7 linked regions of the Mus musculus genome follow. The protein of the gene in region 2 purifies or fractionates together with the protein of the main gene of each other region. This does not show direct contact. Links are inferred from orthologs where the notes say so. Each region holds a gene or a part of one and is shown on either strand. Other genes may lie near its edges. The genes, in order: Chd7, Smarca4, Bcl7b, Cebpb, Bcl7c, Ss18 and Rb1.

Region 1 (3,980 bases), on a different chromosome or scaffold from region 2:
GACAGGTTGGCAACTGCTGGAAAGATGGCTGCTGACCAGGGTGCTGTTGGCCAGGTATCAGTCGTTCCTGGATTGCTTGTGGATCCGCAAGGCCGACACCAGGGCAACCATTTGGTCTCATGTGTCCGGTCAGCTCCCTGGGTGCCGAGGACATGCCCATAAACGAACGAGGCTGCTGCATGTTTCTGGGGCCCATATTCCTCTGTCCGATTCCCATGGCACCAGGGGGCTGGTGAGATGGCTGAGGGTGGGGCATATTTGGATAACTGCCAACTTCCATGGGCATCCCAGCACTTCCGGGCCTGACCTGCGGAGGCGGCGTGCCTGCTGGGTTACTCATTGCTTTCATGGGTGACATGGGAGGTGGAGAGGCGTACGTTCCCTGAGGCTGTGAAGGGTGCATAGTTTGTGTGTTCATTTGGTTCAGTGAGCCACTGGAGTGGATAGGCTGCTGGTGCACGAGTCCCTGACCACTGTTTGACGGGAATCCCACGGCATTGGGGTATCTTGGTACCGACTGATTCATTGGAGTACTGTTTGTAAGGCCTAAATTTTGATTCATCCCTGTACTGTTAACTAATCCCTGATTTAGGTTACTGTAAGGATATCGAGAATACTGCCCTGAGTTGTTTACAGTAGGGGAGGGGACTGTCTGGTTCCGAGAACTAAAGTTAAGGGTTTGTGGCCTGACAGCCCCTTGTTGAGGAGGGTTGGGGGAGAATCTGGGACTGTGGGCAACGGATTCTCCGTGGAGAGCAGCGGGGTGATGGTGGAACTGCTGCTGCACTGGGTGGCGCAGGGAAGGGGCCATGCTGGGGCTCTGCTGGGGCATGTGCGACAGGTGGCCGGGTCCTGAGGTGGCAATGAAAGGGCTTCCCTGACTGAGGCCCTCTTGGCCTTGGGAAAACTGGCCCATCCTCTGCTGTGGCTGGCCGTGCTGCTGCATGGAGAAATCCCCACGTGCCAGATAGCTGCCCATCTGCTGCATGTGCTGGGGGTGGCCCTGTGCCGGGGGCCCCGAAGGAGCCGGCTGCGGCTGCTGCTGCTGGTAGGGGGCTCGTATCTGGTCTGGTACCTGAACGGCCCGGGGGCCCCACATGGAGCCGCCATCCACAAAAGATTGCCCGTGCCTTTCGTTCTGGATGCCGGGATAGACTCCCATCTGACCGCCACCACCGCCTCCGTGGGGCACCTGGGGGACGGGAGGGGTGTGATACTGTGAGTGCGGAGACGCCAATCCGTTCCCGGGGGCGCTGCCCATCATTCGGTTAGGCTGATCCATCAGATGCATCTTCTGTTCATACTGACTATAGTGATCAAAATGGGTCAACTTGGTTTGATTCTGATTAGGTGAAGGATGGTGGAGGGATGGCTGTAAGGAGGGAAAACCTTGGTCTATGGGCATCTGCTGACCCATGGGGTTCACGGGGTTTTCGGGGTAGCCACATTCCCCGAGGCCTTCGAGGCCTTCGCTGAACAGACTCCCATCCTCGCCAAAAAGACTCATCATCCCTGGGTCCGCCATCTTCTTCTAACACACGGCTCCTCCGAACACAGCCTGGGAGCTTGTCTGTGCTTCACTTTTCTGGGGTGCTTGTCCTCAAAACCTATAATCCTTAACTAATCTTCTTCGTGTCATTCTAGATTTCCTTAATTCTCTCGGACCCTGCAGTGTCAGGCGGGCGGGCGAAGTCTGGATATAGGTCCTGGAAAGGAGTGGGGGGTGAGAAGAGAGAAAAAAGGAAACAAAGAATTAGGAACAAATGATAAAAGCTGCCGGTATTTTACACATTTGAATTTAGTTCCCATCAACAATGCCAACCCAGGCCCCTTGCTGAGCTGTATTTTACAAACCTAGTTCAGTTTAAGGGAAACTCATTAGCTTCTACCAGAAGCACTCTGATCGGTTACGTGGAAAGGCAGCACAACACTAACCTAACCTTAAATTAATCCATTCACTACACTTCCTCACATTCCGTTCTTGGATGGAACAGAACAAAAGGACACAACGTGAAGCAGCAGCAGCTGCCACAGCAGGCAAGCAGATGTATGAATATAGCCGGCAGCCCATCTGCTGGGCTAAAGCTCTGGTTCCCAACAGCACCCCTTAACCTCACTCCCATGAGCGGTAATCAGATGAGCGGCGAGCGTGGCACCGAGGACTGGGAAAAGCCCAACTTAGTTAAATTGACTGGAGGATTATACAAATACCAAAATCAGTCATTTTGTACAAATTAGATATTTACAGCCCACATACAACTCTGCAACGGCAACAGACGCATCTAACAAGAAAGCACCCGTAATGAGGTTGAAAAGCGAGCTTGAAAACACAATAAATTCATAATTTCATTATGCTTAATAGCAGGAATAGGCAAGATTCAGAAAGAGACCACAAGTGAAGCTTTCATTCTCCGTGAGGACCGATTTCACTCATGGCTCTGGGCCCATCACGTTCCAGAATTGTGGGGCGATTGTGGGGCAGATGGTAGCAGGGTCAAGACACAGGCTCCATTTTACCCCACCACTGGCTGTGGTGAGGGCTAAGTGACTACTCAAAGACTAGCTGTAGACAACTGACTATTCCTGTTGGTAGAGACAGAGACCTCTTCAGAAACTAGCCAAAACTGGATGGTACTTTAACAGAAAAAAAGTTAAAAATATCCACCAGACCTTTTAAAAACCTTATAGGACAAAGCAGGACACAGCAGGAGGGAGTGGGGCTAGCTGGCACATCCCTTCACCTCCTATGCTAACCGAATAGCATCCCAGCTTTCTGCCTTAGCTATAAACTCTGATAGATCTGGGGTCATATTAAAATAACCAATTTGATTTGAAGACTGCTTTAACAACCAAAACAGAAAAGTGGTTTTGTTCAATGCTTACTGAATCAACAAACTAATCAAGAATGATTTCGCATAAGAAAAATGCCTGGACCCTGAGACTCCTTTGGACTGTCACCAGCTGATCTCCTCTCACAGCACATTAAGCACTGGGTGGCACTGACCCACTTGCGACACACAGAAGCACACGATGGAGAATTTCCAGAGATGCTCTGGACAGACTCAGTTGTGAATTCTACTGCGGATTGCCACAAGAATATGCATATAACCAACTCTGTAAGGAGTCACCCATGAGACAGATAACCCTCTCTTCTACCTGCCCTATCCTAACGTATTCGTAACACGGAGGAGACTCTGTTTATGGAAATGTAAACAACATTCCTGCTCACTGTCAGCACTACAGACATGACACCTGAGAGGGTCTGTAGCTTTCAGGTGACAGCTGTCAGCCAACGTCAAAGGTCGCCTCACTCTGCCACTACCTGCCATATATTTTCTGATCTACCTTCTCCAAATACAGAGGTCAGACAGGAGAGAATCAAGTACATAGGAAAGCTGTTTCTCTAAAAATATGCTGGGTTTTTTTTTCCCCCCAGAACAAATAAAAGTCCAGAGCAGGGAGTAGAAATTCCAGTGCCAAGTGCAACAAATATTGATAAACTGAATTTGTGCGTAACCTAAAAAAACTTAAAAAGTCAGTCTTCATTTGCTCAAGGCTCACTCTTAACTTCCAAGGAAATAAATGTTACAATGTAATTGATAACAGCTTAAGCCAGCCATGCAGCCAGCTTACCACGCAGTTTAAGGAAGGTAATAGCACTTATATGTTCTGGAAGACCTTCCTTCATTTCCCAACAGCTTCGTCTGCTGGGGCACACCCCGAAGCCCGGGGCCCTGCAGAGCCTGCTTGAAGTAGCAGCAGTGGACTTGACGCTTGCTTTTTATCAGCTAAGGACCCAGCAGAAGGGGAAAAGAAGTTGTACGGGCACAAGAAGAGACAAACCAGGCTCGCTGAGAGTAATTATACCAGACGCTTGGCTTTGTTTCCCTCCTTCCGGTTCCCTATTCATTCCCATTAAGAATCCACTCCCGGAGGCATGAAAAATGCCAGCATTGTACGGCATCAAGTGAGCATGTGAC
Region 2 (3,980 bases):
AAGGACTCAGAGGTCTTGAGTGACCCTGAAACTGTACACTAAGAATACTAACACATGCTTGCTTTTTAGGCAAGAGTCGAGATTCTCCAAAAGCACAGTTACTCATGATGACCGTGGCTGTGGTCACAGACCTGACTGATGTCTGTCCATCAGCACTTCATAACCTGCAGGTAAGAAGCCCTGACAGAGACACGTGTAACCTCAGGAGTGGGAACACTTCCCAAGGGAGGAGTCCCCAAACACGCAGAAAATACCTACAAGGTGACTGTTTTTTAAAGATGTATTTATTATGTATACAGTGTTCTGTCTACATGTGTCTACAGGCCAGATCTCATTAGAGATGGTCGTGAGCCACCATGTGGTTGCTGGAAATTGAACTCAGGACCTCTGGAAGAACAGCCAGTTCTCTTAACCTTTGAGCCATCTCTCCAGCCTAGAGGTGACTCTTGAGCAAATACTTCTAGAGACTTTAATTTTCAGTCCCATGATGGCTTTGCTAAACATCAGCTGAGATGTACACACCCAAAACTAGAACACCTGTTTCCTTGTCACAGGCCTGGGTTACACTGGGCAACTCCCCCCACCCCCCATAAATACCAGAAAAAGGAAAACTTGACAGATACAGGTGTAAAGACAGTGGCTAGTGAGAAGACCTTAAGTCTTTTTTGTTTGTTTGTTTCGACAGGATTTTCCTTTCTCTGTGTAGCCCTGGCTGTCCTACTTTCTCTGTAGACCAGGTTGGCCTTTACTCAAGAGATTCATCTGCTTTTGTCCCCTGAGTGCACCATGCCTGGCTGTCCTGGAACTCACAGACATCTACCTGGGTCTGCCTCCTGAGTGCTGGAACTATGGCCAGCTCCTTAGCCATTCTTAAGAACATCCTAAGGACTGAGGAGACAGATATGCCCTGCTGTACTCATGACAACCTGAGCTGGATAGCTGGCACTTAGAAGCCAGGCTTGCTGACTGATGTGAGTAACCTCAGAGCTGTGTAGAGAAAAACAGATCTGTGGAGCTCATTAGCCATCATGTCTAAAAGTTAGTGAGCTCCAAGTTCAATGAAAGATACCTCTAAAGCATAAGCCGAGGATAATAAAGGCATCAACCTCTGGCCTATTAACACATGTACACACATGGCCACAATCGTCAGGGACAAGCAGCCTAGCTCTGCCACCAAGAGCCAGGACTCTGGGCTGTGGCCTTACCTCGATGTGCTGGAACATGTAGGGGTGGTTGCAGATCTTACGCAGTTGCATAATAGTGTTCATCAGTGTCTTGGTGCCACCTTTGCCCTGCAGAGGCACATGAGATGGTCAAAACGGAATCCTGCCTTTAGGGCAAGATGGAGGTGGGCAAGATTGGGCAGGGTGGTAGAAGAATGGCCCAGAGCAAGCTGGTGGTTATCTTTGTAGCCCTGTTACGGAAGGGAGTTCTCTGAGAAGACCTAAGAGACTAACTGGCACAAGAACTGAATGGAAGCAAACATAGCAAACAGCAAAGGGTAAGCACACTCACAGTACAGCTACACAAAGAAGGGTACAGTGATCTGTACTAGGGAGGGAAGCAAGGAGCGCAATGCTCCAACGCACAGGTAAGAAAGGGGCTGAACAACAGACACACACCTAAGGCCATGGCTAGGATGCTGGGTACGGATTGCAGGGACTAGTAATTCCCTGGGGGACAAGCCCAGGCTTGCTTAGAGGAGGTGTAGAATGACACTCTTGAGTGCTCCCAAGAGAGCAGTGGCTCCCCCTCCCACTCTTTCCAATGTCGGGATGCCCCCAGTAATAGAAAGAGGAAGGGTGCAGAGGCCATGACAGATAAGGCTGCTGGGTAAGTAAAGTTCCATAGGACTATTCCCACTCTGCATCAGTCAGCCCAGGGCTTCCTGCTGTCTCGAGGAAGGCAGGTACTCAAACAAGGGCAACTCCAGAAAGCAGTCTAGTAAGCATCCTCAAAGGATACATTACAGCTGTGGCTGTTTGAATGCCTGAGGGATGGGGCCAAACGAAGTCTCCTGGGCAGAGTACCAATTCAATTCTCAGATCCCATGGTGCTCTTCATCTACCCTCTCCCTTTAGACAATCGTGAAATAGATAAAGAGGAACCTGGAACAAACCTTCTTGTCCTTCTCGGAGCCGTCAGTCAGCAGCACACCTTTGGCCTGCATGTGACGGTACAGCACACGCTGCAGGGCTGACATGTCGCATTTGATGACATACTCTACCTGTGGAGCAAAGAACACTCTCAGGCCATACAAACTTAAACTGGGTTGCCTGTGCCACCAAGTGGACCCTTGTGACCAGCACTCTGATTAGGACATGGGGTATGAGGGAGGAGCCCTCAAAGTAGGGAGATCTGGGAAGAGGAGGAGATTCTGGGTCAAAATTCTGGAAGGCTTTCCACAGCTTGTCAGAAAATAAACGGTGAAGTCAACCAGAGAGGCAAGCCAAGTGTGGGTGCATAGAGCAGAGGGCCCACACCACTGATACCACTCAGTAGATCCAACCTGAGTCCTAGCCTCTGTCTGTGGACAGGAGTTTGGACAAGGACACAGCAAGCATGAGTGTGACAAAGTTCGGTTCTGACCCAGGTCCTGGCTTTGCTGCACAGTGGTGTGAGTCACCACTCCAATTCCATGGAGCGGGTCCAGGGAAGGATCACCTGACTACACTCTCCCTGGGAACAGCCCCACAAATGGCACCTGTGGCTTCTGCCAACACCAACCTTCTCAGGGAGCTGGGCTTCAACTTCCTTCTTGAGCCGCCGCAGCAGGAAGGGCCGCAGAACTTTGTGTAGGCGACGAATAATGAGGATAGTCTCCTCTTCATTCAGGTCCACCTGGGAGCCAGACAGTAAATTATAACAATTCCTCCAAAAGTGGGGGGCAGGGCATAGGAAGGGCAGCTGTGTCATGGACAGCAGCTGTCACTTGGTACCCCTGTGCCCTCTGGGAGAAGAGGAAGACATTCATCCTTGGGAAAATGAAAATCTTCTGCCTTTTGTGTAATTTATGAAATGCCTAATGGCCAGGTACCATGCTTACCTTATACCTGAACACATATGACAATTGGCCGCTGGGTCTCCCTTAGGCAGTACCAATTTGGTGTTTACAACCACAGCATCAGCTGACTAAAGTCAGGCAATTTGGGGCATTATAAGCTTGTCTGATCAATGCCAAAGGCTGCTCTGACACTAGTCCCACACCTTCCTCTCTTGGCCTCAGAGGAGTCATTGCCTAAGAAGCACTGTTATCCAGATACTATTCTTTGGCTTCAAGGCTACATTGTTTAGCATTTAAAGTGTCTTTTGTTTACTTATTTGTTTGTGTCTGAGGGTGGGTATACCCTGAGGAGGTCACAGTTGGCTCAGATTCCACTTTGTGGGTTCTGGGACTCAAACTCAACTCATCAAGGATTGGTGTCAAGTGCTTTTAGTTGCTGAGCTACCTTGTTAGCCAGGGATCCATTTATCTTTATTTGACTGATTGACTGATTGGTTTTTCCATGCAGGTTTCTCTATATGTGTAGCCCTGGCTGGCCTCAAACTCAGAGATCTGCCTACCCCTGTGCCGACAAGCCCAGCTCCAAGAGACCCACTGAAGAGAACACCAGGAAGGAGAGGCAACTAAGATGGCATAGGCCTGAGCTTTTCTGCTGCGCTCTGGTCATCCCTTTTAGAGTTTTAGCTTGTAGGAAGAGAAGCTCTGGAAATGGAGCCTCAGAAGAGCCTCCTTCCTTACATGGATTGAAAAAAAACATCAATGTCCCTTTCACAGGGGCTGGTGCCTCAGCATGCCTCCAGGGAGGATGGGGAACTTGGGATGAACACAATAGATACCTTTCTAAGACCCGAGGAGGCGTGAAGGGGAGCAAATACTAGCTGTCAACAGCCTCTGGCTTCTGCCCAGGTTCACAGGCTAGTAGTTTAACCCCTTCTCAATGCATATATATGGCTTACTGCAAAACCCACCAACACCA
Region 3 (4,461 bases), on a different chromosome or scaffold from region 2:
ACTCAGCTCAGATCGTCTGTAAGAGCAGTACGTGCTGCCTGTAACCACCAAGCCACCTCTCTCTCCTGCCTAGGAATGGATGTATAGAACTTATGCATGCACATACATACATACATACATACATACATACACTAGATCCTCACGTATGACGGGTGTTCACATGAGTGTCAGCACGTGTACCAGGGTTCATATGGAGGTCAAAAGATCACCTCAAGTTTGGTCCTTGCCTTCCACTGTCATTTGGTCATCTGTGTAGTCCAGGTTAGCTGGCCCTTGAGCTCCCAGGAAGTCTGTTTCTGACTCCCACCTCACATAGGAACACAGGGATAATGGACGGCAGTCCTCTATCTGGCCTTACCTAGGTGGGGCTGGAAATCGTCCTCACTCTCCCCAGGTAAAACGCTTTACCCACTGCACCATTTTCTCAAGCCTATTTTCTTTGTCTATTTTCCTGAGGCAGGGTTTTCTCAGAAAGCCGAGTCCAAACCTCCAGATTCTCCCGCCTCAGGCTCTTGAGGGCTGGCATTCCAGGCCGGGCAGCCTTGAAAGCATTTACATTTGAAAGGGCATCCAGTGGACAGGATGCTGTCACAACCACTCACCCACCCAACTCAGCTCCCATAACTTTGTAGAAAGAAGCTGTCAAGTACTAACAAGACATATTTCAAAGTTTAATTTTAAAAATACTCTATTCAGTGCTAAAATAGGTCTTCACTTGCTGTTACCCATTTCCATTTTCTTAAACTTTTCTTTTTTCAGACAAAAAATAAAATCATAAAGTTTAATTAAACATGCAGATTTTAAAGAAAAAGGAACTTTCTAGAAAGTCTGAGCTGAAGGAGTACTGGGGCAGGTACTGTGGTCAGAACCTCCAATCATGGCTGGGGTTTTCTGCAGGAGGAGGTGGGGACGTTGGAATGAAAGGACGGGTGAATAGAAAGCTTCAGGTGTGCTTAGTGAGTGTGAGGATGCAGCAGAAGGTTCTGGCAGGCACAGGGCTGGGAGCAGCTGGGGCATCCAACAGAGGCAGGTCTGCCTCAGGCACAGGATGCATCTCCCATGGGTCTTCTGCCCAAAGGTGGCGAAAGCCCCTCCGTCCCGGAAGAGCCTCTCTCCGGTGTTCTCCACATCTCTACCGGTCAGTCCCTCTCCCAGCAGCAGCCTGCAGGGCCTGGCCCTGTGGCAAAGTCCATACTCCACAGTCTCCATTCAATTCAAGTAATCCTAGGCACTCTTCTCTCAGGTGGGCGCCTTCCACACCTTTCTCCCCGTGGCGGCGCCAGCAGCTCCGTGCAGTGGTTCTGGAGGTGAGAAATGAACCCTGATGCTCTGGCCTACTTGGGCTACAGAAAAGATGTGAGCGCTCCTTTGCTCAAGAGCAAGCAGACACAAGTGTCAGGAACAAGAAGATGGTGCGACGACCCCACGCCCTCCATCAGCCTTCTAGCCCAGAGGGCTCCCACGCACAGGCTCTGGACCCTAGTGCTTGCCCGGACCCCAGCATCAGAGCTCGGCCAGACCAGAATGCAATAAATAGAGGCAGGGGCCAGGAGGCGAGGGGCCAGGACGGTGCTAGCTTTCCGACGTGGTCTGCGGTACTACAGGTTGGTCCACACAGAATCTCTTCAAGGGCGGAGCACCAGAGTCCTCCTCTTCCTCAGTGGTCTGGAAGTAGCAGGACAGGGTGTGATGAGCCACCCCGAGCAGCCCTGCCCATTCACCACACTGCAGCCTGCAGCCTGCCCTCTGCCTGCTTTTAGGTGACCAAACCCTGCCCCTATTCTAGAACCAGTGACTGTTTTCCCAGCAGACTCTACAGCCTAGCATAGCACAGCTGTGTTACCCACCCAATTCCTAGGATCTTTCCTTCTCTTCCCTGGAAATAGGGAAGGCTGGTAACCTCTTACCTGTGTCTCCACCGGCACTGGCTCTTCCTTTGTGAGTGTGGGAGGTTCATCTGCAACTTCAGATGCAGGCAGCGAAGGTTCTGTAAGAGCAGCAATTTTAGCCCAAGGTAAGTCTAGCCTTGCCCTTGGCCTGGGGGCAGTTCCTGAGATTCATATCAAAAGGATGCAGGGCCAGGAACCACATGTGTCTAGCCAAGAGCCACTATCCCTCATGTGGGAAGAATGAAGTGTGAGTGGATCACAGAGGGCCACCATCCCAGCATGGCAAACACTGGGAGCTAAAGCTCACCATTCCTACTAAGGCCCCCTGTTCTGAGAGGGCTGCTACATCAGATAAAACAGCACATGGAAGGATCTAGAACAGATACAGCCAACAGCAAGCACACATTATCCACACCAAAACAACTTCCGTTGTGTAGCACACAAAAGAGGCTAACAAGGGCCACAAATGCATAGGGGCACCTCCATGACTCACCCTCCAGGATCTCCTGGCCCAATGTGGGGGGCTGGGAGTCATCAGTGCGGAAGTCTGAGGTGTGTGCTGGGCTCAGGGACTCGCTCTGCTGGGGGCTGGGACTTGAGTTGGTGCTGCTGTCCACCTTGAGTTGATAGACATCCGACACAGAGCTCTGGTTGCTGTTCTCATCTGGAAAGCAAGCACAGTAAGGCAAGAGCTGAGAGCTGGCGCTGGCACACTGACACACTGCACACTGCTAACACTAAGGAGGCCCATGTGGGTTTCCCATGTCCTGGGTACTCTCTGCAGAGTTTAAGCAGACTTGCTTTGAGACAGGTGTCACTCTATAGACCAGGCTAGCCACAACCTGGCACTGGTCCTCCTGGCTCTGATTCCCAAGTCCTGATTACAGACGTGACTCACCACACCTGACAAGAGCTCACCATGAGCCGGGCATGGTGGTGCATGCCTTTAATCCCAGCATTCGGGAGGCAGAGGCAGGCGGATTTCTGAGTTCGAGGCCAGCCTGGTCTACAAAGTGAGTTCCAGGACAGCCAGGGTTATACAGAGAAACCCTGTCTCGAAAAACCAAAAAAAAAAAAAAAAAAAAAGAGCTCACCATGTCTCCGAACTCATTATCAACTTGAGCTTCCTGGCTTCTCCTCTTGAGTGCTTGAGTGCTGAGCTTGGAGGCATACACCCACACACCTGCCTCTGTGTGGTGCTGAGGATGGCGCCCAGGGCTTCCTGTGTACTGCCGGAGCGCTCTACCAACTGAGCCATATTCCCAACCCAAGCATTTTCTACTTGACAATATATAGAACATGCAGCCAAAACCTATGATTGCAACATTTCTAGCCCAGGAATGTGGAGCTCTGCTTATATAACCATGCTGCTATTGCCGACCAATTACAGCTCTGGCCTGGTAGCTTCTTGCTGCACAGTGGGTGGCAGGGGTGCCATCTGTGCCTTCCCATGGCACAGAATGGCAGCACCACGTGTCTGGACCTCAGAGTACCTGATGGAGGCTGTGGTGCCTGGAGGAGATCACCTCAGGCTCTCAGACACTGGACTGTCCCAAGGATGAGAGATTAGCACCTGGGGCTGTCTAAAGGCTTAAGGTCACCAAGTAAGTTAAAAGCTGAAGCAGCCACAGTCCCCTCCCCCATTGCCTCCAGCAGGCACAGTCTGCTCACTTGCACTTGCTTTTTCCTCTGTGGTGCCTCAGTTCAGACCTCCTTGTCACCTTCAGACCTGCCTAGCCTGATGTGACAGCCTTGAATCTTGCTCGGCCTTACAATTACAGACAAAGTGAACATGGCTCCTACAGTGGAGAGTGCTCTGTCCCTGCACTCCTTAGGGCCTCCCTGCCTGCCATTCTTTAACCTTTTCCCTGGCTTCAGCAGCTAGCAGCTGACTGAGCACTGTTTCTCGGCCTGTATCTTTCCCAACCTTCCTGCTGCTGGCTGCTATGACTTCCCTTTCCAGGTTCCTTGCAAAGCTCCTATATATTTGCAACAAAATCAATTGCTTGGAGGAGCCTCAGTGTTCCCCAAGGTGGAAAGGCCATCCCACGAGCTCTGATGCTTCTACTGGCCCCTGTGCACATACTGGTCACCTTCTATCACACTCTGTAGTGTCCCTGCCACTGCCTGCCTTCTCCCAGATATCCCAGTGCCAGACACAGGAAGTACAAACAAAAAGGAGGGGTTGGTGACCAGACCAATGCCTCCGGTTTCCTGGAGCCTTCTGATCACTGAACAGCCTTTCCCTGTGTTCTTGTTACTCCATGACACCGACCTTGGTGGGGAAGAAGGAGGCAAGCAAGGGCAACTGCACGCTAGGTAGCTTCGAATATGGTTCCTAAAAGACAGTGTAAGGCCACTGTGGTCTTCCCTCTTTCCAGGACTTCTATCCTCCACACAAAAACGAAAGTGGCTTTTTGGTTTGTGTGTGTGTGTGTGTGTGTGTGTGTGTGAGAGAGAGAGAGAGAGAGAGAGAGAGAGAGAGAGAACTAAAGTTCTGATTGAGAGAGAGAGAGAGAGAGAGAGAGAGAGAGAGAGAGAGAACTAAAGTTCTGATTGAGGCCAGTCGACA
Region 4 (3,906 bases), on a different chromosome or scaffold from region 2:
AGGCACAGAGCCAGTTTGCCCCAAGGCCACACCCAGCCAAAACAACGAGAGTAAAGAGAGAAGTTGGGCCATGGAGATGGCTCAGTGGTTTAAGGTAGTTACTACCAAGCCTGAAGACCTGAGTTCAATACCCAGGACCCATCTGCCAGGAGAGACCTGTGACAGTCAGCGAACCCCAAGTTCTGACCTTCACATGCAAGTTGTGGTGCACAGTAGATAGATAGATAGACAGACAGACAGACAGACAGATAGATAGACAGATCCCTCCCTGGAGGGGCTGACATGGGGGTGGGCAGCAGGGACAGAAGGATGACAGGCCAGGTGAGATGGGCTTTCAGGTCAGGAGTGTTGGGGGCCAGGGACCCAGGACTGGGCTCCTGGAGCAGGGTTGAGGGAACAGATAGTGTGCTCACTCTCTGCCTTCCTGGAGCCCAGTCTGAGGGGAAACTGAGGGAAAGAATACGTGCGTGCATGGCGACCTACAGGCAGGGAAGAATAGTCACCAGTGTTGGAGAAGGGAGGGCCCGTTAGTGAAGCCCCAACGTCCCACTTTACAGCCAGGCCTGGCTGGGTGGCCCTGGGGATGTCACCACGCCTCTCTGGGCCCTGATCCCTTCCTGGCCCAGAGGCTGCTGGGAAGGCCAGAAAGCCGCAGGCAGGCAGGGCTAGCGTCTTACCCTTTCCCTCCCTGCCCCCCACCCCCAAGGGCACAGGGAGATGTCATTTCTCCAGCTCTTGGGGGCGGAGGTCACCCCAGCTCAGCAGATAACACCGAAGGTTGAGCAACACCCCGCCAGCTTGCCGGGGCCAGGGCTGGGGTCAATGGGTCGGGGGTCAGCCCCTGACAGGTTGGCAGCTCCTGCTTGAGTGGCCCACCTAGGAGTGGCAGAAGGGTGGGCCCCAAGAGTTGCCCTGGGCGTCCTCAAAAGGGTCTCACCGGAGAGAGGCTGGTGATCCCAGCCCATTCAAGTGCACGGGGTGGAGGGGTTGCCTCCCCAGCTTGCAGGGTGACCGCTGGGTCCTTATGGCTGGAGTGGGGTCTACCATGCTCCCACCGCAATCACCTGAGAAGCCTCTGGGCAGGGCTGTGCAGGTCTTAGGAAGGCATCGTACTTCTCGGGGGTCCGTTTGTCTCTGATGACACCACTACTAACAATACCAACACTGTCCACGGAGGGAACTCAGAAGCAAAGTGACTCACCCAGACACAGTGTGGCAGAACCCCCAGCCCTGCCACCTTCATGGAGAGGCGCAGGGAGTGGCGTAGGCAGGTGCGGTAGGCGGGCCATACATAGGGTGGAGGGCTGGGATCCAGGACAGCGAGCATCCCCGGGGTGGGCGTGCACCTGGAGAGTTCTGCTTCCCAGGAGTTGGGGGGGGGGTCCCAGAGGTGTGGGCAGCACCTGGGTGGGAGGACATGCACCCCGTGGAAGGCTGCTTCCAGGGAATTGGGGCCCGGGGACAGCGGGCAGGATCCGAGGGTTGGGGTCGTGTAGCTGGAGGAACGATCTGTTTCCCAAGAGTTGGGGGTCCGGGACAGCGGACCGGAGCCGGGACGAGCCACCGCGTCCTCCAGCAGGGGGCGGGCGGCGGCCGCGCTCCTCCGTGTTCCCGAGGGGCGGGAAGGGGGCGGGCTGGCGTCACCCGCGTCCGTGGCCATCGCGGGGCTGGCGGGACGCCCGGGTCACCGCTCAGCCTCCCGCGCGAGGACCCCCGCCGCGCCCCACTCCCCGCCGCGCCCTCTCGCGCTCCCGTGGCCGGGCAATGACGCGCACCGACCGGGTGGCGGGGCGGCGGGAGGGGCCCCAGCGTGACGCAGCCCGTTGCCAGGCGCCGCCTTATAAACCTCCCGCTCGGCCGCCGCCGCGCCGAGTCCGAGCCGCGCACGGGACCGGGACGCAGCGGAGCCCGCGGGCCCCGCGTTCATGCACCGCCTGCTGGCCTGGGACGCAGCATGCCTCCCGCCGCCGCCCGCCGCCTTTAGACCCATGGAAGTGGCCAACTTCTACTACGAGCCCGACTGCCTGGCCTACGGGGCCAAGGCGGCCCGCGCCGCGCCGCGCGCCCCCGCCGCCGAGCCGGCCATTGGCGAGCACGAGCGCGCCATCGACTTCAGCCCCTACCTGGAGCCGCTCGCGCCCGCCGCGGACTTCGCCGCGCCCGCGCCCGCGCACCACGACTTCCTCTCCGACCTCTTCGCCGACGACTACGGCGCCAAGCCGAGCAAGAAGCCGGCCGACTACGGTTACGTGAGCCTCGGCCGCGCGGGCGCCAAGGCCGCGCCGCCCGCCTGCTTCCCGCCGCCGCCTCCCGCCGCGCTCAAGGCGGAGCCGGGCTTCGAACCCGCGGACTGCAAGCGCGCGGACGACGCGCCCGCCATGGCGGCCGGTTTCCCGTTCGCCCTGCGCGCCTACCTGGGCTACCAGGCGACGCCGAGCGGCAGCAGCGGCAGCCTGTCCACGTCGTCGTCGTCCAGCCCGCCCGGCACGCCGAGCCCCGCCGACGCCAAGGCCGCGCCCGCCGCCTGCTTCGCGGGGCCGCCGGCCGCGCCCGCCAAGGCCAAGGCCAAGAAGACGGTGGACAAGCTGAGCGACGAGTACAAGATGCGGCGCGAGCGCAACAACATCGCGGTGCGCAAGAGCCGCGACAAGGCCAAGATGCGCAACCTGGAGACGCAGCACAAGGTGCTGGAGCTGACGGCGGAGAACGAGCGGCTGCAGAAGAAGGTGGAGCAGCTGTCGCGAGAGCTCAGCACCCTGCGGAACTTGTTCAAGCAGCTGCCCGAGCCGCTGCTGGCCTCGGCGGGCCACTGCTAGCGCGGCGCGGGTGGCGTGGGGGGCGCCGCGGCCACCCTGGGCACCGTGCGCCCTGCCCCGCGCGCTCCGGCCCCGCGCGCGCGCCCGGACCACCGTGCGTGCCCTGCGCGCACCTGCACCTGCACCGAGGGGACACCGCGGGCACACCGCGGGCACCGCGCGCACGCACCTGCACAGCGCACCGGGTTTCGGGACTTGATGCAATCCGGATCAAACGTGGCTGAGCGCGTGTGGACACGGGACTGACGCAACACACGTGTAACTGTCAGCCGGGCCCTGAGTAATCACTTAAAGATGTTCCTGCGGGGTTGTTGATGTTTTTGGTTTTGTTTTTGTTTTTTGTTTTGTTTTGTTTTTTTTTTTGGTCTTATTATTTTTTTTGTATTATATAAAAAAGTTCTATTTCTATGAGAAAAGAGGCGTATGTATATTTTGAGAACCTTTTCCGTTTCGAGCATTAAAGTGAAGACATTTTAATAAACTTTTTTGGAGAATGTTTAAAAGCCTTTTGGGGGCAGTAGTTGGCTTTTGAAAAAAAATTTTTTTTCTTCCCTCCCGACTTTGGATTTATGCGAGATTTTGTTTTTGTGTTTCTGGTGTGTAGGGGGCTGCGGGTTATTTTTGGGTTGTGTGTGGCGGTGGGTGGGGGTGTCGCATCTGGGCTTTTCTCTTCCCATGGCAGATGGGGTGTCAGCCCCTCCCCCCAGGAGAGGGGGCAGAGTGCCAGGTCAGGAATTCAGGGTGACTCAGCACCCACGGGTGCTGGGGGACTTGCTAGAAACCCTGCTTGGGACGGGCCGCCCTCGGCTTGGTTTGAGTGTCAGACTTGTGTTGAGAGGACTAGACATTCTGTAGGAAAGGCTAGTCCAGACAGCTGGGTCAGGGCAGGTGAGTTCTGTGTGTTTGGTGGTGTGGGGGAGACCGCACGCCTGTTTGGTGTCTGTGTCCCTGTGTAGCTGGAAGAGAGATTGGGCCGAGAGGAAGGTGAAGGGAACACTTCCTACTCTGCTTTCCCTTTCTCACTATTTTTTCTGCCCAGAGGGGACTAGGAGCCTCTCTTACTGCGCTCAGAGTGGCTGAGCCAGGACTT
Region 5 (4,568 bases), on a different chromosome or scaffold from region 2:
ACAAGGCCAGAGTGCAGACTCTGGCCTCTCTCACCTCAGCTTCTAGCAATTCTGGAACAGGCTCCTCCTTGGTCAGCTTTGGGGGTTCATCAGTACCGCCTGCAGGTGTCCCCCCTGGATCTGTAATACCAAGCAAAGAGAGACTTCCTAAGCAGCTACTCTGTGGTGGGAGAATGGATCAGGGACAAAAGAAGCAGGCAGGCACTGGTCACATATGGCAGCAGCAGAGGGGGATCCCTAGTTGCCAAGGAAGGCAGACTCAGTCAGGTTGGATCTCGTTAGTGGGGAGTGAGCCAGGAGACAACAGAGGTAGAGCAGAACTTAGGCAGACAGAAATAGATGCTTAGCAACCACGGATCCTAAATCATCTGCAGAATGGAAATAGTGTCAGTCAGACCACGAGAGGCTGCTGTGTGTGGGGGTCAAGGGTGGAGCTGCTCAGTAAGTGCCAGGTAGCAAGTTCATTCATTCACTTACTCATTCATTTCTTACATTTCTGTGGTAGTAGAGATGGGGCTCAGGGCCTTAGGCATGTCAGATAAGCACCTACCACTGGACGCTTCCCCTGCCCTATCCGTTTATATTAGCAAAAGTATTTGGAACAATCTCGGTATGGCCCAGGGGCCATGTCATGGTGTTCTTGACAGGGGAACAATTTTGGCGGCAACAGTTTGTCAAGGCCTCAGTGTGAAGTGAAGGAACCAGAGGCTGCGGGGAGCCGAAGAAGGATGTGAGGCAGGAAAATAGCCGTCTCGAACGTGTGCTTTAGGAGAGCTGCTCTGCAGCCACCGGGGACAGGCGTGGAGGCCAGAGCAGGTACAAGGGAGAAACGAGAAGGCAGAGCCAAAGGCACAGGAGTCAGGCACGCCTGGGAAGTGGTACTGACCAGACAAGGGGTGGACTATTTGAAGACAGAGGAGCTGAAGAAGGCTCAGGCCCAAGGTGTTGCTCACTGGCTCTTAAGTCTGGGCATCTTTCTCTGGATGTTGGTCTCCTCGTGTACAGAGAGGACTCATGATAGAATCATTGGTCCCAAAAGATGACAGTGAAGATTAAATGCGAAAACAAACAACAGAACTTCGGAGTGCTCAGAGGAACGACTCACAGACAAGCGGTTCTGTTAGCTGTTAATCTACTGCTATTAATCCCTATGATTATTGGAATTATTTATTCCCTGAACATCTATTACGCATCCCACATGATCAAGATCGGTATGGCTGACAGGAGATGATAACAGAAAAAGACAATAAGCAAGCAAAGAAATAAATCTGCAAAAAAAAAAAAAAAAAGTCAGCTGGTGATATGCTCCCTACAGATCTAAGAAGCCGGAGGATTGAGGCACAGCTGGAGGTGATCTCTGCCAGGGTCAGGGAAGATTCCCTGAGGGAGGCGGGACCGGGTGAGAGGACATAATATAAGAAACAAGGACAGGATGGTGGGTTCAACTTTGATGAGAGGGCTCCTGAGAGCCACAGGGCCCTACCTCTCTCCTGACCCAATTGTGGGGGCTGAGTATCTTCAGTAATCACTTCTGGGGGTCCAGTTGGTGATCCAGGGCGGCTGGGCTGGGGCGTCCCCCCAGGGCTGGGCTCAGCACCCTTTTGCAATGAACCTTCAGAATGGAAACTCTGGTTGCTGTTCTCATCTGATGAAGCAAAAGCCGCGCGTTAATTAGCCAGAGATCCCCAGGGGATTCCTTCAGTCCCCCCCACCCAACTCCATTCCAGAATCTCTACATACCATTGAGATCCAGTAGGATGAGGGGGCCTCCCCCTCTGGGACTGGTGCCCCTACCACGTCTCTCCCGGCCACGGGATCTCTCTGCCCCGCCTCCTGCCCGCCGCCTCTCCTGGGGGTTAGAGAGGTAAGATCAGAGCTAGTTGTCTAGGGAGCTCTTACAAAGCCCTTCAATACGAATAAGGAAACCTAGGCTCAGAGAAGCGAAAGGTGCTGCATCAGGTTGTGTAGATTGAGTTAGGCCTTGAACTTGGAGAAAGTGTGTGTGTGTGTGTGTGTGTGTGTGTGTGTGTGTGTGTAAGTGCGCTCGCGCCCCCTAATAATCGTTACCATCTGCCTGGGCTCCACACTGGAGTCTCCAAGCCGACTGAAGGTGGAGGCCAAGGCTGGGAGGGAAATTGCTTGAGGCTGCACAGATGCAAGGCCTGTTGGGGGTTGGGGCTTGCTCACCTCCTCCTGGGGATCCACCACAGGCACCCACTTGAAGATTCGAAGGGAAGTGTCTCCCACAGTCACCCAGCGCTTCTCCCTGTGGGAGGTCAGGAGACTGGATCAGGGAGGCCCAAGGATGAGCCCCACAGACTGGAGGTCAGGGAGGTGTGCTAGGGTAGGGACAGCTTCGCTAACACTGGCACAGAAGCAGAAAGAGCCCTCAAACCCCAGGGCAAAGCAGAAACGGATATAACTTGGAGCTGCGGTTTTGCAGACACCTGGGGCACTCAGCAGGGCGCCACCAAGGCCTGGCCAGGGACTCTGGCAATGAAGACCCGGGGCCAAGCTTGCTAGAGTGTCAAAAGCTTCAGGGGGCGGGGCATAGATGAGGGCTCCCGCTCAGGGAAAGCACCACTCCGGACCACGCTTTGTAGACCTCTGGGAATTGCCGGGGAAAGGGGGCGCCCTGTCGATTCAGAGCACAGCTGGTGGGCGGGGGCAGCGGGCCAGGAAAGGGCGGACGCGTTTGGAGGAGGTGGCTTGGCTGTATCCCTGGCCCGGGGGCAGCGCTCACCATCTCCGGACCTTCTCGATGGTCGCCATCACCTTCTTGATGTCATCTTTGGCCCGGCTCCGGGTCTCGGCCCGCACGGTCCGGCCGGCCATGCTGGCGGGGCTGGGGCCGGGACAGAGCCCGTGGCGGGGCGGCCTGTGGTCCGGCGATCTCAGGCTGAGCGCCAGGCCCCAGCGCCGCTCTTTCGGCCTGCCGTCCCTCCGGGAGTTGGCCGCGCCCTCCCTCGCTCCCCAACGCCTCCGCGCGTCCCCGCCTGGCTTCCTAAGACCGCGCCCCGCCCCGGCCCGTCCCCGGAGCGGCCCGGGCGGCGCGGGCTGCTAGAGCCCCGGCCTGGAAGCCCGGCCAGCCCCGCCCCGGCCCGGGCCCGCCCCTCGGGGCGCACGGACGCACAGCGCCCTCTGCCAGCCACGGAGAGGGAGAGCTGGGGGGCAGCTGTGCGGCTGGACGCGCGCGGCCCGAGCGAGGCGGTGCGTTCCGGCCACGTGGGCTCAGGGGTGCGCGAGAGGGACTGTCCTGGTGTGCGTCCGCGGCGGGTGGGCGTCCCTGAAATGCTCTGTGCGCGCGTCTGCCCTCTCCAGGCTGTTTGATTCTACGCTGCCCAACTTAATTTGTTCATTCATTCATTGAACAGTCCCATGAACAGTGCCAAGTACGCGCCAGACGCTGCGAGTGGAGAGCGGGCCTCCTCAGCCAGAATGGCGGGAATGAGAAAGACCATGTAGATGGGGTAGCAGAGCAACTTGGCATTCCTTGAATCAGGTTGTGTAATTGGTAGAGATACTTTGGAAAACTGATAGTCTTCCAGTGAAAAACTTATACCAACCCCGTTTTCCAACACTTTCCACTCCCAAGCTATCAACACTCAACAGAAGAAATGTGTGCTTGCCTAGTTTTTTGTCAGCCTGACATAAACTAGGTCAGCTGGGATGAGGGAACCTTGGTGGAGAAAGGGCCTCAATCAAGATGCCCTATGGGTAAGTCTGTGGGGCCATTTTCTTGATGGTAGTTGATGTGGCAGAGCCCACACCACTGAGGGCAGTGCCACCTCTGAACACTCTAAGAAAGCAGGCTGGACAAGCTTTGGGGAGTAAGTCAGCAAGCAGTATTCCTCCAAGGTCTCTGTTTCAGTCCCTGCCTCCAGGTTCCTGCTTTAAGTTCCTTCCCTGACTTCATAACGGACTATCACTGCAAGCTGAACTACATTCTTCCCTCCACGAGGTGCTTTTGGTCATGGTGTTTATTACATCACTAGAAACCTCACTAGGACAAAATGTGGTGTCTGTATGAACACCAAGATATGAATACTGGAAAGTTTGGGACTCTTTTCACAGTAGCAACAACCTGGAAACAACACAAAGAATGGAATGGAAGGGGCTGGCGAGATGGCTTAGTGGGTAAGAGCACTGACTGCTCTTCCAAAGGTCCTGAGTTCAAATCCCAGCAACCACATGGTGGCTCACAATCACCCATAATGAGATCTGACGGCCTCTTTTGTTGTGTCTGAAGACAGCTATAACAATAAATCTTTATAAAAAAAAAAAAAGAATGGAATGGAAAAGCAATTACAACCTATTTCTACCATGGACACGGACAGAACAGCCAGAATCACCAGAGTCCAGCTATGTGCAACAGTGAAGAGAGATCTTGGATGAAAGAAGTCAGATGTGACAGCATGCATTAGAATAATAATTAGAATAATTAGAATTATATACATACATACCTACATATAATTCTATATATAACAGAAAACAAATACATTTTGGGGGGGGGGTCTGGACAGTGATCACTATTGGGACTACCAAGCAAAAGAAGGGGTTTCTGGGAC
Region 6 (3,980 bases), on a different chromosome or scaffold from region 2:
TCTCTACAGTCATTGTTTTTGTTTTGCTTTGTTTTGTTTTGTTTTGTTTTTTGAGACAGGGTTTCTCTGTGTAGCCCTGGCTGTCCTGGAACTCACTTTGTAGACCAGGCTGGCCTTGAACTCAGAAATCCACCTGCCTTTGCCTCCCAAGTGCTGGGATTAAAGGCGTGCGCCACCACTGCCTGGTGCAGTCCTTGTTTTTATGGTAGGTCTTAAGTGGCTGTTGGGGAAGACACTGAAGTGTCCAAGCCATGAGCTTCCGCTGGAGAAATGGCTCTCGGCTGTCGTTAGTTGAGTTTCTAAAGCGGACAAGCTTGCTTAACACAGGCGGTCTCTCCCATAGGGACAATTACACTATTAACAATACTTGATTCTCAGTGTGTTAACTCTCTTCTAAAATTTAATTGTATTTCACGGGGGTGGGTGTTTTGCCCGCTTGTATGTATGTGTACCACGTGTGTGCTCAGTGTTTCAGAAGGTCAGAAGTGGGCATGGATCCCTGGAACTGGAGTTACAGAGCCATACCTGCAGCCTTCAAAGTGTAACTTTTCACTCAGCTTTTTTTCACATTACAGCTTGTGGCTTTTTGAGTCATTCATTTTTTATTTAAAATTCTGTTGATATAAGTTTATTGATGGTGGTACAGCCCTACCATTTTGATGACTTCAAATGTAAATTTAATCACACAATTAGTATGTCATTGTTTTTACAACTTTAGTCAGAAATTATGTCATTTGGGCCTGCTTCTAGGTTATAGAACCAGGACCTGATCCTGGCTAACTTATGGATCTTAACTTAGTTATTATTGAGGGGTTACTGTGGGCCATTGCTTCCTGGGCCTGCTTTATCATAGTCCCAGTCATTTCACTGAAGCAGCAGCCCCTATTTTGCTTTTACTATAGTCATTAGCTTTGATCTCACTGTGCAAAAGTGACTGACTGCCCTTTCAGTTTAGATATAAGAATTTTGTAACATCTGTTTGAAATTCTTGCTGAAATTGTGGAGACTCTTTCTAGCTTTACCTTTGGGCTTGTTGCTGTTGTCTTGCAGGTCCTTCGCAGGGCGGTCCAGGTCCTCAGTATCCTAATTATCCTCAGGGTCAAGGTCAGCAGTATGGGGGCTATAGACCAACACAGCCAGGACCACCCCAGCCACCCCAGCAGAGGCCTTATGGGTACGACCAGGTAAGTTGCCTACCAGCCGTGGAGTTACCACGCTGTCCTTCATTTCTGTGGACTTCTGAGTCAAGATTTCACTATGTTGTTGTTTTGAACCTGTGATCTGTCAGCTTCCATGAACTGGAATTTCAACCATGATGAATCACATGTAGCCCCCTTCTCATGACTGCTAGCCACTACTACACTCTAATTAGTACTTTAAGATATTTGAGAAGACCAGCACAGTTGAATAACAATCACTCTTGATTGTAACAGCTTGAAGTACAACAGCAGCTCATTGTCCCCGGACACACTGTCATCGGTACTTCTCCAGTGTCCCTCATTAGTGAACGCGGCCCGTGCTTTCCTCTGTTCCCCAGTGCAGCTCACCCGGCATACTTGGACTTGCTGTCAGAGCTCTTTGTGTTCCAAGTTCCCTGCTCACACTTTCACACGTGTTTCTATCGCCAAGTGTTTTTTCTCTACCCTCGATTTCAGATGTTGAAATGTGTCTTACTTATCCTAAGATAAGATTCCCTAGAACCTGGTAGTATCCATCTGGGTTTTTCTCTTTTTAATCAGACCCCGCAGACTTGGACTGTGCGCCTAGGCACTTAGGGATGCCGCCGTGGTTGTTCTGACTTGCTCTGGGAATGACTATAGACCACGGAATGTTTCAGGTTTGTGCAGTGAATTTGCAGTGAGGACATCTTAATACATTCACTGCTTGTAAGGTACTAAAGTGGGGGAGTTAGGAACATGGAACTGTGTGTAGTCTATAAGTCAGGGATCTGAGGCTAATGTAGAAGATGTCACAATTTGAGAATGCTGTAACTAGCACTAGAGCTGCAAGCAGTGTTTCCTGCTCTGTCTGTCTGTCTGTCTATCTGTCAGGCCTGCAGCCCTTTGTACTGGCACTTGGTCTCTAAGTAAGGACAAGAGGACAAGAGACAGACACGGGAAGGGTGAGGTGCATGAGCGTGCCTGCTTCTGTGCAGAGCAGAGTGGGGGAGAGGGCAGAAATTGTACTCTGTGTACAGTGCCTGGGAAGGTCCGAAGGTCACACTAGGTTCCCTGAAACTGCAGTTACAGACACTTGTGAGCTGCCGTGTGGGTGCTGGGAATTGAGTCCAGGTCCTCTGGATCAGCAGCCAGTGCTCTTAACTACTGAGCCATCTCTCCAGCCCAGAAATAAAGTCTGTCTAAGAAGTAAAATTATTATTGAATAGTTAAGTTACCTTTAAAAGACCTGATGAGGGTCCTAGGGAGATGGCTCAGCTGTTAAGAGCACTTGTTCTCCTGGCAGAGACCCAAGGTCAGTTTCCAGCAGTATGTCAGGTGACTCACAGCCACCTTTGCTTCCTGCTTCCAAGGGGATCTGACTATATCACGTGTGTGCATGGTACCCGTACACAGACACACGGATATGCATAATCTAAGAAAAATGCTTTAAAAATTAAAACCAGATTAGATAACTTGATATATTTTAAAAGGTGAGACTCGTTGTTCTTGCAAGCGTGGTGTGCAGCTAAGACAGACAGATGAATGCTTCCGGCTTCTAGAGCGGATGTCTCCATCTTCCTGCTTCTGTCATTCGGCACTTCTCTGCCTCTGCCTCCTCCTCCTCCTCCTCCTCCTCCTCCTCCTTCTTCTTCTTTTATTTTTTTTCCAATTTTTTTATTAGGTATTTTCTTCATTTATATTTCAAATGCTATCCTGAAAGTCCCCTATACCCTCCCCCACACCCTGCTCCCCAACCTACCCACTTCTGCTTCCTGGCCCTGGCATTCCCCTGTACGGGGGCATATAATCTTTGCAAGACCAAGGGCCTCTCCTCCCAATGATGGCCGACTAGGCCATCCTCTGCTACATATGCAGCTAGAGACACGAGTTCTGGGGGTACTGGTTAGTTCATATTGTTGTTCCTCCTATAGGGTTCCATCCAATAGATGCCTGTGAGCATCCACTTCTGTATTTGCCAGGCACTGGCATAGCCTCACAGGAGACAGCTATATCAGGGTTCTTTCAGCAAAAACTGAAAAAACAAACAAACAAACAAACAAACAAACAAACAAAAAACTGGTGTATTCAATAGTGTCTGTGTTTGGTGACTGATTATGGGATGGATCCCCGGGTGCCGCAGTCTCTAGATGGTCCATCCTTTTGTCTCAGCTCCAAACTTTGTCTCTGTAACTCCTTCCATGGGTGTTTTGTTCCCAATTCTAAGAAGGGGTGAAGTGTCCACAATTTGGTCTTCCTTCTTCTTAACTTTCATGTGTTTTACAAATTGTATCTTGGGTATTCTAAGTTTCTGGGCTAATATCCACTTATCAGTGAGTACATATCATGTGAATTCAAGGCCCATACCTAAACATAATAAGAGCAATCTACAGCAAACCAGTAGCCAACATCAAAGTAAATGGAGAGAAGCTGGAAGCAATCCCACTAAAATCAGGGAATAGACAAGGCTGCCCACTTCCTCCCTATTCAATATAGTACTTGAAGTCCTAGCCAGAGCAATTAGACAACAAAAGGAGGTCAAGGGGATACAAATTGGAAAAGAAGAAGTCAAAATATCACTATTTGCAGATGATATGATAGTATATATAAATAACCCTAAAAATTCCACCAGAGAACTCCTAAACCTGATAAACAGTTTCAGTGAAGTAGCTGGATATAAAATTAACTCAAACAAATCAATGGCCTTTCTGTACACAAAGGATAAACAGGCTGAGAAAGAAATTAGGGAACCAACACCCCTCACAGTAGTCTGCCTCCTCTTTTATACCATAGTCCACCTGAACTGCAAGGTAGAGCACTTAG
Region 7 (3,980 bases), on a different chromosome or scaffold from region 2:
TGCCACAATGTTATGCTGGTTAAGATGGGCTCTAAGTGATGTTTCTGCACCATTATAATCTTACAGGACTACTGTTGTAAACTGCCTTACTGAGTGACACATCATGTAGTGTATGCCTGTTCTTAGCAAGGATAAGAGGGCTGCCTCAGTCTGAAGCTTAGAAAATAGCTTAGGTATGGATTCAACCCGGTCCGTCTCCACTGAGAATAAGTCTGCTTTGACAGCTGGGGTGTTATTTCTTTTACACTGTCTCTCTCCTAAGTACTACATGTGGAAGAGAAGCTGAGACTAGGAGACTGAAACACTTGCGTTATTGAAATATGCAGACGCTAATTATGCTTGAAGAAGGAGTTGCCCAGCTGGAAAAGTGGTCAGGAGCACAGATGATGGAGTTAAGACTCATGGTTCATACCTGGGTAATTTCCACTTGGTATGCCTCTAGTGACTGCTTTAATTTCCCTAATATGGTAGATGTGTAAAACATGAATGGGAAGACTTACCAAGTATGGCTGATGTGGGGACTCAGGAAAACCATGCATAGGATCATAGTAAAATTTCAAGAATTAAGTTGCTCTTCCTAGTGTTGTTGTTATATGTCAAATTGAAAGGAATTAGCCATTAAAAGCTTACAGTTAAGAAAGGTCAAAGAGATAGGACTGAAATACGTGATGCAATCATTTCTATCAAGTTAATCATTAAGAAATACAGGAAGGTGGAGAGAATGTATGGATTGACCAGGGTGTGGTTTTTTCGTTTTTGCTGTGACAGTTCCGTCTTCCCAGTGTGCTTTAGCTAGTGCACTTGCTGTGTCTCACAATGCTGTCCGGCTGCTCTGGAGTATATGTGCTTCACCATGCTAGCAGCTCTTCTTCACTTTGTGCTAGTCTTATTTGGAAAACCCACAAAAAAGATAAGCATATGTTTAAATGATGTGTAATGGTTCTCAAAGATAAAGTAAGACCTTAAAGCACTCAGAGATGTTCTCTTTCAAAACTGTGCTGGTGTGTGCAAACTATAGAAACAAGTGTTTGCTTAATTAGTTTGATCTGCAAGTGTATCAATTTTGTAACTTTTTAATTTGTAGGCTTGAGTTTGAAGAAATTGAAGAACCCGAATTTATTGCATTATGTCAAAAGTTAAAGGTACCCGATCATGTCAGAGAAAGAGCTTGGCTAACTTGGGAGAAAGTTTCATCCGTGGATGGAATCCTGGTAAGAATGCTTTTAAAGTTAATTTTTTAAAAAGAAAATCTATAAAGTAAAATATATAAAGTTAGTGATAATTTCACTATCCAAGAGTACCCTCTGATAGCACTAGAATGCTTTTCATTTCAATGGTTTCTTAGGTTTTTAATTTTTATTTTACATGAAAAAAATTCTGATGGTGATGGTGATGATGGCAGTGGCTGTGGTGATGATTCTGACGATGATAATGATGATGGTGGTGGTGGTGTGGGAGCTGTGTTCCTTCTGCTTTTAGTGAAGGCCTAGGGATTGAACTCAAGTTGCCAGGCCTGCTGGGCACCAAGTACCCACAACCATTGAACTGGCTTCATTTTAAACTGATATACAAAGTAACGAGTTTCACTGTGACAGTTTTTGTACAGATACACCATTGTTGTTTTCTCTATTCATCTCCTCCCCCACTCTTCTTTCCCATCCATTATCTTCCATTTGCTAGTCCCCTGCCACCTCTAGACGGCTTCTCCTGCATTTGTATCACACCTGTGCCACACACATTTGTGTCACACACTCTTTTCCCCTATGCCTTAAAACTCTCTTCCTCTCATCTCCCTTTCCAACTTTCGTGACCACACACACACACACACACTCACTTAAGTTTTAGAATCTTCATAGGAGAGAACATACTTGTCTTTTTTTAGTCTGACTTATTTTGACCTCCAGTTGCATTCATTTTTGTAAGGATAATGTGATTTCATTTTTATTTGTGGTTGAATAAATTCTATTTTATATATATTGACTGGCTTTCTTCATCTGTGCATGGGTGGATGAACATCTCCACTTGCTCTATCTCTTAGCTATTCTTAGTAGTATGGCAGGAAACATGGATCTCTCTGCTGTCTTGACGTCGAGTCTTTTGGACATACATAAGATAGTGGAATGGCAGTTTTATGTAACCTCACACTGACTTGCATGGTGTTTGCCCTACTCTACCTTACTACCAACAGTATATAAGGCTCTCTTTTCCCACATTTTTGCCAGCTAACATTTGTTGTTTTGATGTTAGCCATGCTGACTTGGGCAGAATGGAATCTCAAAGCAGTTTTAAGTTGCATTTCCCCATTTCAAATTTTTAGTGCTCCTATGTATATCTTTTTCTGAGAACTGTGTTTAGTTGGTTCATTAACCTGTATTTTGAGTGAATGATTTGCTTTAATAATATTTAAAATTTGAGGTTCTTTATCAGTTTCAATACATGCTGGTATTGAAGGTGTGCCCCACCACACTCAGCCCTGTGTTATGTTTAATCACAATCTGTCTCTCTGTCTGACTGTCTGTCTGTTTAATGTGTGTGCATACATGCTCTCATGCACTGCATGTGTCGTGGTCAGAGGGCATCTTTCAGGAGTCAGTTTTTCTGCCGTATGGGTTCTAGAATTGAATACAGGTTATCAGGCTTAACAATTGCCTTTACCCATTAAAGTATCTCACTGGCCTGATATTGGGCAAAAGATATTGATTGAGTTAAACATCTACAGCAGGTAGATGCCCAATTACCTCAGCATTATTTGAAGAGGATTTTTTCCCCCAGTGTCAACAACTAGGTGGCTATAAATGTATAGGTTTAATTCTGAATTCTCTTTGTTGGTCCATGTATTTTTATGCCAATATCATACAGTTTTGTTACTATGGTTTTACAGTATACTTTGAAATCAACTATTCTGACACTTGCTTAGTATTGCTTTTGTTACTCAGAATGTTTTGTCACCTCATATTAGTTTCATTTCTATTGTGATAAAATATCCTGACAAAAAACAACTTACAAGAGAAAGGTTTATTTTAAATCACAATTCCAGGTTATAGTCTATCATAATAGGGAAGTCAAAGAGGCAAGAACTTAAAACAACTAGTCACATCACACCTACAATAAAGAGCAGGCAGGGATAAGTGCATGCATGCCCAGTACTCATAGAATTTTCTCTATGAAAATTTATATAGTTCAGAGGCAAAAACCCTAGAATGGTGTTGCCTACTCTCAGGCTAGGTCTTCCCATTTCAATGAAAAGATTGGGTGGGGTCTTTCCCCAGCAATTAAGGCAGTCAAGGCAGCTTGCCATAGCTGTGTCCAAAGAATTCCTGAAGACTCCCTTCCTAGTAATGTTACACTGTGTCAGGTTGGCTATTCAAACTAACATTGCTAAGGGGCATCATCCTAGTTCTGTAAAGAATGTCACTAGAAATAGGCCTCGCATTGTATTGCTTATAGGTATTTTTGGTAATGTAACTATTTTCACAGTATTAATTCTGCTAACCCAAGAGCATAAGACTTTTTTGTTTGTTTGTTTTTTAATTTTCTAGTATCTTCATCTTCTTAAGGGTTCTTAAATTTTCACTGTAGAGGTCTTTTACTACTTTGGTTATGTTGATTCTTAGGCATTTTCTTTTTTGAAGCTAATATTTTTTGTCTTGTTTGTTTGTTGTTACAAGGTCTTGCTTTGTAATTCTAAATGATCTAGAACTTATTATGTAGACCAAGCAGCCTTGAAGCACAGAGATCCTGCCCTGCTGTAAGTGCTGGGATTAATGGTGTGTAACACCATGCTCTTGAAGCTGTTAGGAATGGGATCTTTTCTTTTCTTGGCAAGTTAGTTATTGGTATGTAGAAAGGTACTTATTTTTGCTTGTTGACTTTATATTCTGCAGTGTTGAAAGTATCTAACACATCTAAGAGTTTTCTACTGGAGTCTTTAAAATACAGGATCAAATACCTTCGGCAAATAGAGATGCTTTCTTCCCCTT

What was found.
Region 1: the proteins of Smarca4 (region 2) and Chd7 purify together in Homo sapiens (affinity purification with mass spectrometry; 3 studies listed by BioGRID and IntAct, with this or other methods). This does not show direct contact. The link is inferred for Mus musculus from reciprocal best matches to the Homo sapiens genes SMARCA4 and CHD7.
Region 3: the proteins of Smarca4 (region 2) and Bcl7b purify together in Homo sapiens (affinity purification with mass spectrometry; 6 studies listed by BioGRID and IntAct, with this or other methods). This does not show direct contact. The link is inferred for Mus musculus from reciprocal best matches to the Homo sapiens genes SMARCA4 and BCL7B.
Region 4: the proteins of Smarca4 (region 2) and Cebpb purify together in Homo sapiens (affinity purification with western blotting; 3 studies listed by BioGRID, with this or other methods). This does not show direct contact. The link is inferred for Mus musculus from reciprocal best matches to the Homo sapiens genes SMARCA4 and CEBPB.
Region 5: the proteins of Smarca4 (region 2) and Bcl7c purify together in Homo sapiens (affinity purification with mass spectrometry; 6 studies listed by BioGRID and IntAct, counting the BioPlex papers as one, with this or other methods). This does not show direct contact. The link is inferred for Mus musculus from reciprocal best matches to the Homo sapiens genes SMARCA4 and BCL7C.
Region 6: the proteins of Smarca4 (region 2) and Ss18 purify together in Homo sapiens (affinity purification with mass spectrometry; 8 studies listed by BioGRID and IntAct, counting the BioPlex papers as one, with this or other methods). This does not show direct contact. The link is inferred for Mus musculus from reciprocal best matches to the Homo sapiens genes SMARCA4 and SS18.
Region 7: the proteins of Smarca4 (region 2) and Rb1 purify together in Homo sapiens (affinity purification with western blotting; 7 studies listed by BioGRID, with this or other methods). This does not show direct contact. The link is inferred for Mus musculus from reciprocal best matches to the Homo sapiens genes SMARCA4 and RB1.

The regions. Positions count from the first base shown.
Region 1 is NC_000070.6:8,749,050-8,753,029, reverse strand, and holds part of Chd7 (chromodomain-helicase-DNA-binding protein 7), read right to left. Parts: intron 1,707-3,980; 5' UTR 1,526-1,706; coding exon 1-1,525. UniProt on the Homo sapiens protein: ATP-dependent chromatin-remodeling factor, slides nucleosomes along DNA; nucleosome sliding requires ATP. Probable transcription regulator. May be involved in the in 45S precursor rRNA production.
Region 2 is NC_000075.6:21,667,796-21,671,775, reverse strand, and holds part of Smarca4 (transcription activator BRG1), read right to left. Parts: intron 2,842-3,980; coding exon 2,728-2,841; intron 2,228-2,727; coding exon 2,120-2,227; intron 1,293-2,119; coding exon 1,206-1,292; intron 1-1,205. UniProt on the Homo sapiens protein: ATPase involved in transcriptional activation and repression of select genes by chromatin remodeling (alteration of DNA-nucleosome topology).
Region 3 is NC_000071.6:135,178,042-135,182,502, reverse strand, and holds the end of Bcl7b (B-cell CLL/lymphoma 7 protein family member B), read right to left. Parts: intron 2,554-4,461; coding exon 2,383-2,553; intron 1,988-2,382; coding exon 1,908-1,987; intron 1,666-1,907; coding exon 1,573-1,665; 3' UTR 651-1,572; downstream 1-650. UniProt on the Homo sapiens protein: Positive regulator of apoptosis. Plays a role in the Wnt signaling pathway, negatively regulating the expression of Wnt signaling components CTNNB1 and HMGA1.
Region 4 is NC_000068.7:167,687,097-167,691,002, forward strand, and holds Cebpb (CCAAT/enhancer-binding protein beta), read left to right. Parts: upstream 1-1,818; 5' UTR 1,819-1,925; coding exon 1,926-2,816; 3' UTR 2,817-3,336; downstream 3,337-3,906. UniProt on the Homo sapiens protein: Important transcription factor regulating the expression of genes involved in immune and inflammatory responses. Also plays a significant role in adipogenesis, as well as in the gluconeogenic pathway, liver regeneration, and hematopoiesis.
Region 5 is NC_000073.6:127,705,693-127,710,260, forward strand, and holds the start of Bcl7c (B-cell CLL/lymphoma 7 protein family member C), read right to left. Parts: upstream 3,075-4,568; 5' UTR 2,836-3,074; coding exon 2,744-2,835; intron 2,267-2,743; coding exon 2,188-2,266; intron 1,850-2,187; coding exon 1,741-1,849; intron 1,646-1,740; coding exon 1,484-1,645; intron 121-1,483; coding exon 35-120; intron 1-34. UniProt on the Homo sapiens protein: May play an anti-apoptotic role.
Region 6 is NC_000084.6:14,630,747-14,634,726, reverse strand, and holds part of Ss18 (protein SSXT), read left to right. Parts: intron 1-1,050; coding exon 1,051-1,184; intron 1,185-3,980. UniProt on the Homo sapiens protein: Appears to function synergistically with RBM14 as a transcriptional coactivator. Isoform 1 and isoform 2 function in nuclear receptor coactivation. Isoform 1 and isoform 2 function in general transcriptional coactivation.
Region 7 is NC_000080.6:73,319,248-73,323,227, reverse strand, and holds part of Rb1 (retinoblastoma-associated protein), read left to right. Parts: intron 1-1,084; coding exon 1,085-1,211; intron 1,212-3,980. UniProt on the Homo sapiens protein: Tumor suppressor that is a key regulator of the G1/S transition of the cell cycle. The hypophosphorylated form binds transcription regulators of the E2F family, preventing transcription of E2F-responsive genes.